Linked DNA regions of Tribolium castaneum. The protein of the gene in region 3 purifies or fractionates together with the protein of the main gene of each other region. This does not show direct contact. Links are inferred from orthologs where the notes say so. Each region holds a gene or a part of one and is shown on either strand. Other genes may lie near its edges.

Evidence for each region. Proteins that work in one complex are often made in the same cells at the same time.
Region 1: the proteins of HDAC11 (region 3) and sip1 purify together in Homo sapiens (co-immunoprecipitation; 3 studies listed by BioGRID and IntAct, counting the BioPlex papers as one, with this or other methods). This does not show direct contact. The link is inferred for Tribolium castaneum from reciprocal best matches to the Homo sapiens genes HDAC11 and TFIP11.
Region 2: the proteins of HDAC11 (region 3) and PAX3- and PAX7-binding protein 1 purify together in Homo sapiens (co-immunoprecipitation; 3 studies listed by BioGRID and IntAct, counting the BioPlex papers as one, with this or other methods). This does not show direct contact. The link is inferred for Tribolium castaneum from reciprocal best matches to the Homo sapiens genes HDAC11 and PAXBP1.

Annotation. Positions count from the first base shown.
Region 1 is NC_087402.1:11,583,656-11,587,750, reverse strand, and holds the start of sip1 (sip1/TFIP11 interacting protein), read right to left. Parts: upstream 2,801-4,095; 5' UTR 2,690-2,800; coding exon 2,587-2,689; intron 2,511-2,586; coding exon 2,280-2,510; coding exon of another isoform or gene 2,235-2,279; coding exon 1,969-2,234; intron 1-1,968. UniProt on the Homo sapiens protein: Involved in pre-mRNA splicing, specifically in spliceosome disassembly during late-stage splicing events. Intron turnover seems to proceed through reactions in two lariat-intron associated complexes termed Intron Large (IL) and Intron Small (IS).
Region 2 is NC_087398.1:7,514,917-7,519,206, forward strand, and holds PAX3- and PAX7-binding protein 1, read right to left. Parts: upstream 2,801-4,290; 5' UTR 2,794-2,800; coding exon 502-2,793; 3' UTR 467-501; downstream 1-466. Other genes in the region: Hacd1 (very-long-chain (3R)-3-hydroxyacyl-CoA dehydratase hpo-8), read left to right, coding at 3,187-3,281, 3,642-3,989, 4,217-4,290. UniProt on the Homo sapiens protein: Adapter protein linking the transcription factors PAX3 and PAX7 to the histone methylation machinery and involved in myogenesis.
Region 3 is NC_087402.1:4,112,429-4,115,687, forward strand, and holds HDAC11 (histone deacetylase 11), read right to left. Parts: upstream 1,944-3,259; 5' UTR 1,703-1,943; coding exon 1,698-1,702; intron 1,650-1,697; coding exon 1,409-1,649; intron 1,363-1,408; coding exon 784-1,362; intron 733-783; coding exon 562-732; 3' UTR 540-561; downstream 1-539. Other genes in the region: RIB43A-like with coiled-coils protein 2, read left to right, coding at 244-350, 398-539; myosin-9, read left to right, coding at 2,504-2,532, 2,579-2,651, 2,704-2,988, 3,038-3,259. UniProt on the Homo sapiens protein: Responsible for the deacetylation of lysine residues on the N-terminal part of the core histones (H2A, H2B, H3 and H4).

The DNA.
Region 1 (4,095 bases), about 7.5 Mb from region 3:
TAATCCAAAAAGCTAGGTTTTGACGTCAAAAAACATACTTAAACCCAAAAAACAACAATAAGACAATTTTCGGCCAATCTTGGTTATTTTACGGTATACTTTAACGAAATTTTGCGAAATAATTGCATTTTTGGATGGAAAATGTGCAAAAGCACCCGAAAATTTTCTAGCAAAATCTAGCCAAAAATTTAAGTTTAACAACAATTTTGGCCAAAATTTAAAATCGAGCAAAATAAGCTAAATGAAGTCAATTTCATTTCTTTAATTACTAGTCTAATTTCGTAATTTTTCAGCTTGAAATGAAAAGGGTGACAACATTAATATCAAATAAAGAAATAGTATATTAAAAAACAAGTTTCATAAGACCAGTCTTTAAGCACGAATTTTCAAAAATGAGTGCTTCAAGGCCTTATGAAAATGAAACGAGTATTTTATACTGTTTTGTAATTTGGCCCCTCTTTGCCGTTTTTTAACAGAAATTGTTTAAATAATGTGTTTAAATAAGTGCTCTAAAATGTATGAGTATTGAGTAATAATGGAAGTAAAAGCTTTTTTAGCAAGTATTTGCTTTGACGTCGAGGTTTTTTTCAAAACAAAGTGAATGAAATAAAGCAAATACTTTTTTTATTGAGCATTTATTTCAAAACATGCTGTTAGTATTAGCATCAACAATTTTCGATGACAAATTACTTGTACCAAATTTCATGAAACTCGATTATTCCAATTAAGTTACTAAAATAAAAAAAACGATTTTTTTTTAATTTGACGCCCTCTAACTTTTAAACGGTGCAACTTGGTATAGAAATAAGTTGGCCTAAATCGCTCTATTTTAAGACAGGGAATCTATGGTTCACTGTTGTGAACTGTTCACTGTTCACTGTTGTGAACATCTTTTCGTTACACCCTGTATAGAAAAGTTGTTTTATTTGATGAGTTTTTTTATGTGGTAAAATTCACACACGTATTTTTGATACACCCTGTATTAATAGGCGAAAATTGTGGATTTGAACAATGCAGGGAGAATCTTGAATCTTCTCCCTCCACGCTTTAAACTTAAAGGGGCATTAATTTTTAATTCGACGTTTTAGCAATTTAGTGCGAACTTACAAAATTTGTGGAAGCGTATGCTTTACCGACGAAACACACTAACTGTTGCAAGAGCTTTTGTAGAAAATTTCATTTCGAGTTAATAGGACAGATAAAGGTACTGAATTTTTACCATGTACGAGAACCAAAGTTTGCAAAATTTTAAACATAACTCATTTGAAATCTACGCTTATTATGATGAGTTAAGGAGCTATCGAGAAAAAACATAAAAATCTTGGTGCATTTTTAATAATTTTAACCAAAAACAAAAGTTCCAATTAATAACTTCTGGATACCATTTCGGGTTTTCCTTTTAATACAACAGTTTATTCCGAAACTAAATACACTCCCTTTGAATTAGTTTTTAGGAAAAAATATAACTTACCTCATTTAACCAATGAGATTGTGCCTTTGTATAATTTTAATGGTTATGTGCTAAAAATGAAGTATAAACTGCAAAGAACTGCATGACGCTCATAAAAATCTCGTATCTAGGAAAATAAACTATGATAAAAGTGTTAATCCAACGATTTAGTGTTAATAAAAAACGAAACAGGTGAGAAGTTAAGTGCAATTTTCATCAATGGACCATTCAAAGTGATAGAAGACTTATCTCCAAATGTAAAGATTTTAAAAAACGATAAAGAAATAATTGTTCATAAAAATCGAATAAAAGGATAAGAATAGGTATATTTTACATACTAAACATTTAATTTAATGCTTCTTTAAATTCGTTTATGAAAGTGGCCCTAAGACCTTGTGAAACAGAGTTTATGACAAAGTCGATTAAATTTAAATCAAGATTTAAATGTGTTTATGAAATCGGCCCTTTTAGGGTAAAAATAAGTTAAAAACAATTTATTAATTATTATTTTTGTTTACCTTTTTCTTTGGAATGCTTGCGGATTTTTCTGGCCCGTAGGCCCCAATAGCCCCCCGGCCCTTCCTCAAGTGGGCCTCCACCGGGGCTGAAATCCCTTGTAAGTCTTTCCCTAGCCCCTTCCCCGGTTGAAAACCCATCTGTAATAGAAGCTTTGCCCCAATCCCCTTTGTGTGTTTTTCCCAATTTCCCACCCCTTGCATAGGTTGCGAGTGAGTTTTGTTACGTAGGCCTGCAATGTCCCCACTTTCTTGGACCCCACCGAACCCTGAAATATTCAAATTGGAAAAAGTTTGATATTTTGTGCCCCCACCTGGCCTTGGACGTTCATCCTCTGAATCACTTGAGCTATCCTTAAGTTTAAAACTCGTCGTTGGTTTTTCCTCATCACTTTCGTCTTCTTTTTTAACATTTTCGGGTTTTTTACCCGCTTGTTGGACACCCCCCGCAACAAAACCAATCGGGGCGGAATAATTTTTAGGTTTTCGTGATTTAAACGAAGGTCGCTCTTCTTCGTCATTATCACTGTCGTCTGCCCATATACCTACACGGAACTAGTCGTTAATTTGGGTTTGTTCCACCTAAATGGGTAGATAGTAGATGTGGAGTCAAGTTGTTACCATAAATCTGCTGGTGTTTGCTTAACTTTTTTCTACCACGGTAAAACTCATTGTTTAAATCGTAATCCGTTATTTCGAACTTTTCCATCTCGTCGTCCGACATTTTCACACGTTTTTTCACACTTTTACAACAAATTAATCGATTTCGGGTGGCAAAAAAGCAGAGGTTATGTTTTGCGTCAGGTCGCTTTGCGATAGCGCCCTCTGTCGAGAAAAAGCTCCCCACAAGTGGGATTCTACTACGATTATTTAAATAACAATTATTAAGGTACGTTACGTTTGTAATCGTTTATGAAGCTGTAATGTTTACGTTACGGAGGAGTTTATATCGGGAGACAAAACAAGATAGAAAATCGCACGATTTTCTGTACCCAAAAAATATAGTACGACAGAGAAAAATGAGGGCGCTTCCAGAGTTATTCGGCCATAGATACAAGCGCCAAAACGTTTTAAATTAATTTTAATTTAACCAAATCACTTATTACTTGGAAAAAATGCGGAAATGTAGGGCTTTACATTCGTAATAGATTGAGAAAAACTGATGACTAAAATTTATACAAAAAACAAGAAAAAGAATTTATTTCACATTTTCTTCCATTTTTTTCATTACACAATGAACATGGTTAAAGGTACAAGAAAATTGTTAGGAATAAAGTATAGAGAATTTATTTTTTTTAATGGTCGGGACAATATCACTATTTTTAACCGCTTAGGCCCTAAAGAAGTATAAAGAATAAAGATGCTGAAGGCACGGTTTTTCATTTTACCACTGGTCAGGTGGGGAAAATTAATTTACACCTTAATTTACCCATTGAAAATATGTGCGGACTTAAATAGGAAATTTAATTCTCTACACCCTTACATTTTTCTTTACATTTTTTTATATTTTCCACTGTATTCGTAGCGTTTTGATAAAAACACAAACTAGTAATAGTATTTTTTTATTTTTTTTGGATAAACTGTTTGGATCATCTTTATTCCTATGTATTAAGTTTTTAATTTAAAACTTCTACTTTTAGCTTGCAATTCTTGCAGATGAACAATACTTTAATAATTTCTGTAAAATTAAGCCCTATTAACTTTCGTTTAGAACTACCAGAACTACTTTGAAATATTTCTATATCTCCAAAATAAAACTTGTAGTTATTATAAAATATTTAATATTTATAGGATGGGTTTATGGAAGCGTCATTAAGTTAATTTGCAATTAAATGCGTGATTAACTGTTCATGTGATCAAATTGAACAAATTTGATTGGTCGATTCGCGTTGTTAACTTTTAACAACAAATTAAATTTTAACAAGGCTTTCTATAAACTGTATTGTATTACCGACTTTAACTGATTTGTCTGACTTTAAAATAAGACGTTCATTTAATTGTCTATTTTTCTTTATATTCTACAATGTTAAAGCATTCCAAATAAACCTGCTTATAAGAGGAATTTTTCAAAATTGCTTTTGATTAAATTAGCAAGTAGGTTCATTAGTTTCACCTTGCTTTTTGCAAGGC
Region 2 (4,290 bases), on a different chromosome or scaffold from region 3:
ATTGTTAGCATAATAAGAATGCGTAGTTAAACGAATAATGTTCCAAAAGTTATCTTGCATCTCATAACCGTAATTAAAAATGTCCGTTAAAATGCTAAAATTCTCGAAGCTTGCCACATCGTACTCGACGAAAATTTTTCTGTACATTTGCATTTGCACCCTGACGAACATTATGGCATTGTTCACCACATTGCTAAAAAATGTGCCAAATAAAACGATTTTGTTTGATTCGCAAAGTTCGGCTTTTTTGCACGGTGACTGAAATAACGTACATTTAATTTTTTGATGTACTTTGTTGAATACTGACCTGAATCAGAATAAATGCAAGTGAACAGAAAAACAAACGGAGCCATGTTATTAGTCTCATGAGTGAAATAATTGGTGTAGGACTAAAGACTCCCACAATGCTTTTCTACTTGTTATCTGTTAGTGATTAAGGTTTAATAAAAGAATCAACGAGTAGGTACATTAAAATTTCTTTTTATTATCACACAAAACCACTCAAGTGCGCAATGTTTTAAGAATATTGTTTAAAATATCAATACTTTCCAAATGTAGAGGATTATTCTTATCCAACTGCTGCGACAGGTTCAGCACACTCGAACTGAACATTTTCAACTCGGGAGTATTACCCTGCAGCCAAACCCTCGGCAAAATCAAACTAATTAAACTAACTTTGGACACGGCATCAGTCAGCAAACAAAACTTGACCGCACTCAACAAATACCTATTCAGGAGCGAATTCAGCGCCAGTTCTTTGAGCGTATTATCATTGAGCACACCTTGCCAACTCGTAATATTCTTCAGCAACTTTAATCCACTGGCGAACTGTCTCTGAAAAAAGGGCGACTTGCTCTCAATCAATTTGGGTGTAAGCGGAATGAAAACGTCATGTTCGAGGGCACACTTCATTTTGTGCAAAATGGCATTGAACAAATTATTCAACGCTTTACTCGCCGGCCCTAGTGTCGGAAACTTGCGAACGTAGCGAGTGATAATCCCCACCAGTTTCAACGTCTGTGAGCTGGACAAGGGGTCCCAACACCGGTCCACTAATTGTGTTAGCTTCGGAATGATTATTTTCTCGACTATTGTGGGGAGGAGGTTGATATCGGGGTCCTGGGCTAGAGTTGCCTCACTTTCGTCGTCGTGTAGGCCGTAGAGGGCCAACGTTCGGTACCAATCCAGTTTTTCGATGTCGACGGAGTCGTTCAACGGGTCCCAAAAAATCAAGTCGAGGCGTACAAGGGGGCTCACGACCTTAGGGAGGCACAGCGTGGCGTAAGCCTCGTTGTAGGCCGCCAAGTCGGTCTCCCGCCACTCCTCAAACTTGATCAAAATGTTCGCAACTGAGGAGTAGTCCTCGACCACGTCCTCAAAAACCTCCTGGATTTCCCCATCGAGTTGCTCGCGTTCCTTGTCAAAGTTTAGCATGTCTTGTTGCGAGATTTCATCGTCACTGGACATGCCTTCAACGTGCTTGGGTTGCCCCCCGATCTCGCGCGCCCTGCGCCTCCTGGTGCGCCGCCCCTCGCGCTCAGCCGCCCGCCGCACCTTTTCCTCATCTTCCGCCACCTTCTTCATCCCGGCCTTGTTGGTCGCCTCCTCAGCCTGGTCCCGCACGTCCTGTCTCCGGCGCTCAATCAGCCACTCGGAGCGCTTGGCCATTTGGTCCATAGCCCGTTGTTCCAGACTTGCAATCACGCCAACTTTCTCGTCCAGACATTCGACCAAATCGGTGATATAACCCCGAAGTTCTTGATAGAATTTGAATCGTTCAGCGGCGATTGGCGCTTTCGTCTTTAATTCCTCCAACTCTTTGGAAATTTGCTCAATGTCTTGCTGATTTTGTTGCAATTTGTTGATATTGGCCTCGCGTGACTCGCACACGTTCTGGTAGTGTTCGCGCAACTTATCGGCGATCATTTGCGGGGTCCGGGGGACCCCGGGGTCCATGGCTTGCACGGGGGCTGCCACAGCCGTAGGTTCGGGTTGGTAGTCAGTGTACAACAAATCGGAGGCGAGGGCGGAGGCCCCCGTGACCCCCTTCCTGATCTGTTGGTGCTCCCACTCGTCCACCTCCTGATCCGATTCCTGCGCCGCTAGAAACTGCTCCCGCCTCCGTTCCTGGTCCCTGAGGGCCAAATTCACGTCCATGTCGATTCGTTCGTCGTCGCTCCCCTCGTTATCATCCTCCCGCAACAAGCGCCCCTTGTCCTCGGGCTCCTCCTCCTCCACTGGGATGTAGTCCCCCATTTCGCGCGCCCGCTGGCGGCGCTTTCGCGCGGCGTGGATCATGGCGGCGTCGGGGATCGCCCCCGATTCCAAGACCTTCTTGAAGTTGTCCGGTTTGGAGAATTTGTGGGTGGTTGGGGCCTCGTCCTCGTCGGATAAATCGTCCTTTCCGGCACATAGGGCGTCACGGCCGCTCAGAATCAAGGGCGGGGCCGGTTTGTGGTTCACTACGAGGACCAAGTCGTCCGTTACGATCTCGGTCTTGACTTTGGGTTTGGGGTCTTTTTCGGGCTTGGTCTCTTTCTTCTTTTGGCGTTCTTTTTCGAACATTTTCATGACCTTTTTACTGTGTGAGGACTTTTTTACTTGGAATACTTCGCCTTCTTCCTCGGTTTCGAAGCTGAGGAGCGGCTGTTTCGGCTTGTGTTTGGATTTTTTCTTGTGGTCGCGGTCTTGAGGGGGCTGCGCCTCCACGTCCATGGGCTCGTCGTCGTCATCGTCGTTTTCGGTGAACACGCGCCGCTGGATTGTCTTTTTCGGTTTGCGGAATAAAGACATGCTTTGGAAAATTGTTTAACACGATTTGCAACTTTTGGAAAAGGATTATTGGTTATGTTAGTTTGCTGTCACGATGACGTTTTGTTGACGTTTCCAAACATAACCTCTTTTTACGCTTTCAATTTTCACAAATAAAAAATAAGTGGTGATAAATTGTAAATGTGTGTCTTTTGTGTGGTTTTATCGAATTCAAAAGTGTGATAAAGTTGGTTGCCTAACTAAGAGTTCAAAACTGGTCGTCCTTTATCTTTGGATCATTAAAGAAAAAGTGGGGGCACCGCGTCGATGACGCGACTTTTGGGGGTCATTCCATTGCCTCAGTTTAGTAGTTTGTAAGCCCGTTACATTTTTACTCCAGTGGCCAGATTTTGTGTTCACTACTACTTCTAAAAAATGGCCAATGCAAAACCATCAAATAAACCCAAAAAAGAGATTTCTGCCTTTGCTAAAACGTATTTAATTGGGTATAATTTCATAGAAACTATCGGGTAAGTGCTTAAAAATTCATTTAGTTTAAGTATCTCATTATTTAATTCATTGGAATTTTTTCTGGAAAAATTATCGAATTAACTTAATTACATACAAAAACCAGTCAGACAATCATAATTAATTAACAAAAATCGTTCATTCACTTGCTTACATCGTAATAAGCCGGTTTTATTAAAAAAACCGCTAATGAAAAGTAAAGGTTTTCTTTTTTTATTCGAAAAACATTCCACATTATTCATGCGATTCAGTCTATTGTACGAGTATTTTGTCGATTCATCAATTTATTTAGATGTAAACATACCTGGGTGAACTTTAACCCATCAGTCGATTATTTCCTTTGACTTTTTAACAATTTTTAGGTGGTCCTATCTCTTATACCTACTCGTTAGTTATCACTTATCGCCTTCTAAAAGCCAATCTCTCTACGACACGGTGAAATGGTCCTTAATTATTTTTCAAAACGCGGCCGTTTTGGAAGTGGTGCACACCCTTATACGCATAGTGCCTTCAAACCCGCTCATTACTGCCATGCAAGTTGCGTCCAGAGTGATAGTGGTTTGTGGCGTAATTTTAGCAACGAAAGCGGGCCGTGAGACCATTGGTCTACATTTAGCCCTTGCTGCGTGGTCCGTAACGGAAATAATTCGATACGGAAATTACACCTTAAATTTAACAGGGGGTGTCCCTTTTATTGTAACGTGGTTGAGGTAAGATTGTTTTCAAACAATACGATTTCCGCCCGCTGTTTGTGATAAAAGTTAAAACATACGCAGTTTGTTTTTTGTAGTTAAATACATATTGTTGACGTATGTAAAAAGATTAAAACATTTGTTTTCGGTGTTACATTAACTGCAGCGTGCAGCGAATTACAAAAACAAATTAATGCAATGTGTTTTTGCCCGAAAGACGCTAAAGATTTTATTCACCGTTTTAGATATACAACATTTATTGTTCTCTATCCAATCGGAGTAACTGGCGAGCTTTTGTGCATTTATGCTGCACAGAAGG
Region 3 (3,259 bases):
AAAAAATTAGAAGATGGATAAAGCCGTCTAAAAATGATAGGTATATACAACACTAGAGGAAAGTCTCTTCTGTCCCCCAAATGATTAATTTATCTTCAGGAGAAAATGCACGTCCTTCCCTTGGCACACAAACAGCAATTTTTCTAATTAGTTTAAGTGGACCGTCCCAATAATATTAACGTTCTTTAATAAAGATATTGGAAAGGGCCTCGGGGTGGGTTAATTTCCTTTTTAATTCTTTAGAAGCGCAAAGAGTTGGAAAAGCGGATGAATCGGGAATACGACGATTACATTAACGGAACGCAACGCACAATATCATTACTGGACAAAGAAGAAGCCCGGAAACAGAGGTTCGTGATTAAAATTTAAAAGGATGTAGCGAAATGTGTTTTTTCAGGGAAATGGTGAAAAGTTTAGCTGAGGAAAACCGAAAGTTGGCAGTGGAGCAAAAACAGCGTAAGGAGTTTTTGGAGAAAGTCGTTTATAAAAACACGCCAACGTCGGAATTCTACGACCAGTTTAATAAATCAACAAGATAATAAAAATGTGTTTTATTCAGTTTTAGTAGCGGAGTTGAGGGCCTGTTATTAGGCCCGAATCGTGTAGGTTTTTGATCGAAGTGGCAATAATTTTGGCCGATTTTTTCAAATAGCCGCCGCTGGTTAGCATGACGATTGGAATGTTCCGGGAACGGGCTTCCCGGAATACCAGTTCATCCCGTTCGATGATTCCCTGGAAAGTCAATCAGATAGTTTCATTGTTATGACAGTTATTAGTATCAACCTGGGGCGAGACTGATAAGCACCCCAAAGCGTCTCCTTTGAGAATATCCGTCCCGGCGTTGTAGACGATCAGCTGGGGGCAGAACTCGGCTAGCGCCTCGGTTAGGTTTTTTGCAACTTTGTCCAAATACTCGTCGTCTTCGGTAAAGTGTGCCAGTTCGACTTTTCGGGTGATGTACTCCTTGGCAAGTTTGTCGAACGGGTAAATCCCTTTGTTGTACACGTCTATGATGTAGACGTTGGGATTATCTTTAAAATCCCGCTGATATCCATTACCTTGATGAGCGTCTAAATCCACGATCATGACATTTTGAACGCTCCGAGGGTGATGATTAAACACGAAATGGATCAATAGTGTTATATCAGCATACACACAAAACCCACCACCTTTGCTACCGCAACAATGGTGAAAACCGCCCCCGATATTTATTGCCCAGCCACGTTCCAGAGCTAACTTTCCCGCCAAAACAGAACCGCCAGTCTGGAACCGCATCGGACGCAAATATCCCCTTTGAACCAAGTAATTTGGCACGAGACACAGCGGAAGCACTTCCGCTATCAGCGCTACGTTAAAACTACACTACAAGAAAAAAATTACCGCATGAAAAACCCCCAAAAATATTTACTTTCAGACTTTTCAAATACTTTTTAGTGTGCACCGTTAATAAGTCTTCAGTTGTTGCTTCATTTGGCACCGAAAGCGTTTCGTCGTTAACTAAACCACAACTTTTCAAATATTTATAAATATTGCCCCACTTGCCGGCGTCGAAAGGGTGCAATTTTTCCAACCCCAAAAAACGGACATTGTATTCCGGGCGATAAATAATCGGCCATTGTTCCGGTCCAATATCTACATACAATTTCGTACTGGAAAATTATTTGCTCAAGTGGCGCCAAAAATTGGGATTCACTCACTTCATATTTGGCGCTCAATTCAAATTTCGCGCCAAAATTATCGATCGCCACTGCACCAGATATTTGAAATTAGGTCGATCCCCGTAAACACAAACAAACCGCAACACTATTTACCCCCACATTTAACGAAAATCTTTCAAATATTTGCAAATAATCGCACAGTTACTAAAATAAACGGAAATAATTGTCATTTCACTCTTATTCGCCTTACAGCTGGTGCTAGTTCGGCGCGACCTTCGGCAGATGTCTCCCCAAAATTTTCAAAATTCAATAAGTTGCAAGCGTAAAAAAACACATTTCTTTTATTGTTTTGCAATCAGGCAATTTAAATGTAAGTGTAATCAATAAACAAGCAAAATTTTTAGTGTTTGAGGTAAAAAAAAAGCTTTCAGCGTGTAATTATTTTATTAAGATGTTTTTTACAAGTCGTTCAATTTAATACAGAAACAAAAATAGAACAGTGCAAAATACACCAGCAGCCTCTTCGCCTGGAATACCTTCTAGGTTTTTGCTCGGCGCTTCATTCGAAATTAGCGCCGACACTTATCGATCGTTCCACCTGTAAAATTAGACCGACTCCCCGTAAACACAAACAAATCGCCACATTATTTACACCCACATTTGGTCAAAATTCTTCGTTATTTGCAAATAATCGCACAATTATTGAAATAAACGTGAATAATCCTCATTTGACTGTTTTAATTTGTGCTCGTTTGGTGTGACCTTCGGCAGATGTCTCTGTCACATTTTCAAAATTTGAAATCCTTCAAAAAATGTCATCGTAATGGTTTTTTGGAGTTATTATTATGATAAGTTCAGGGGATATTAATATTCAGTAAGTTTGGAATAGATAAATAAGATACGAATTTATCGTTCTGTAGAAATTTCCAGTCACTTATTGAAAATTATGAGGCTGCTCTCAAGGAGGTGACCGGGGATTTGGACGACGTCCAAGTAACAAATTTGTGAATTTTTTCACAAAAGTGTGACTAAAACATGTTTTTAGGCCGAACAAAAAGCACTCAAGAGAGCCCTCCACGAAAATAGTCAATTGAGAGATGAATTAGGGCGAGTTTACGTCGATATAACTAAATGTGAAGTTGAACATACGTACAAAGAGAGCGATTTGGTTGAAAATTTGAAGAAACAACTGCACACTGTAATTGAAGAAAAAGAACAAGCGGTCAAATTATGGCAAAATGCCGCATCTACTGTTGAACTCCTTGAGTCAGAGCTGCGAATTTTTCACGAAAACACCGAAGGATTTATTCCGAAAAACCAACTCACACAAGTAAATAATAGTTTTTGTTAATTTCGTCAGGTACGAGATTTTTTTGTAGTTGAAAAATTCGTACGAAGCGAAATTAAATGAATTGCAAGACACAGTCGTTCGGACGAAAGTCAAATTAGAGGAAACAATTAATTTAAAGTCGAAGGAATTGCAAATTAAAGACAAGGAAATTATTGGAAGTCTCCAAAGTCAGGACAACACATTTAAAATAATAAAAAATCTCGAAGACGAAATTCTGAACCTCCAACAAAGACTCAACGACTCGAACGGA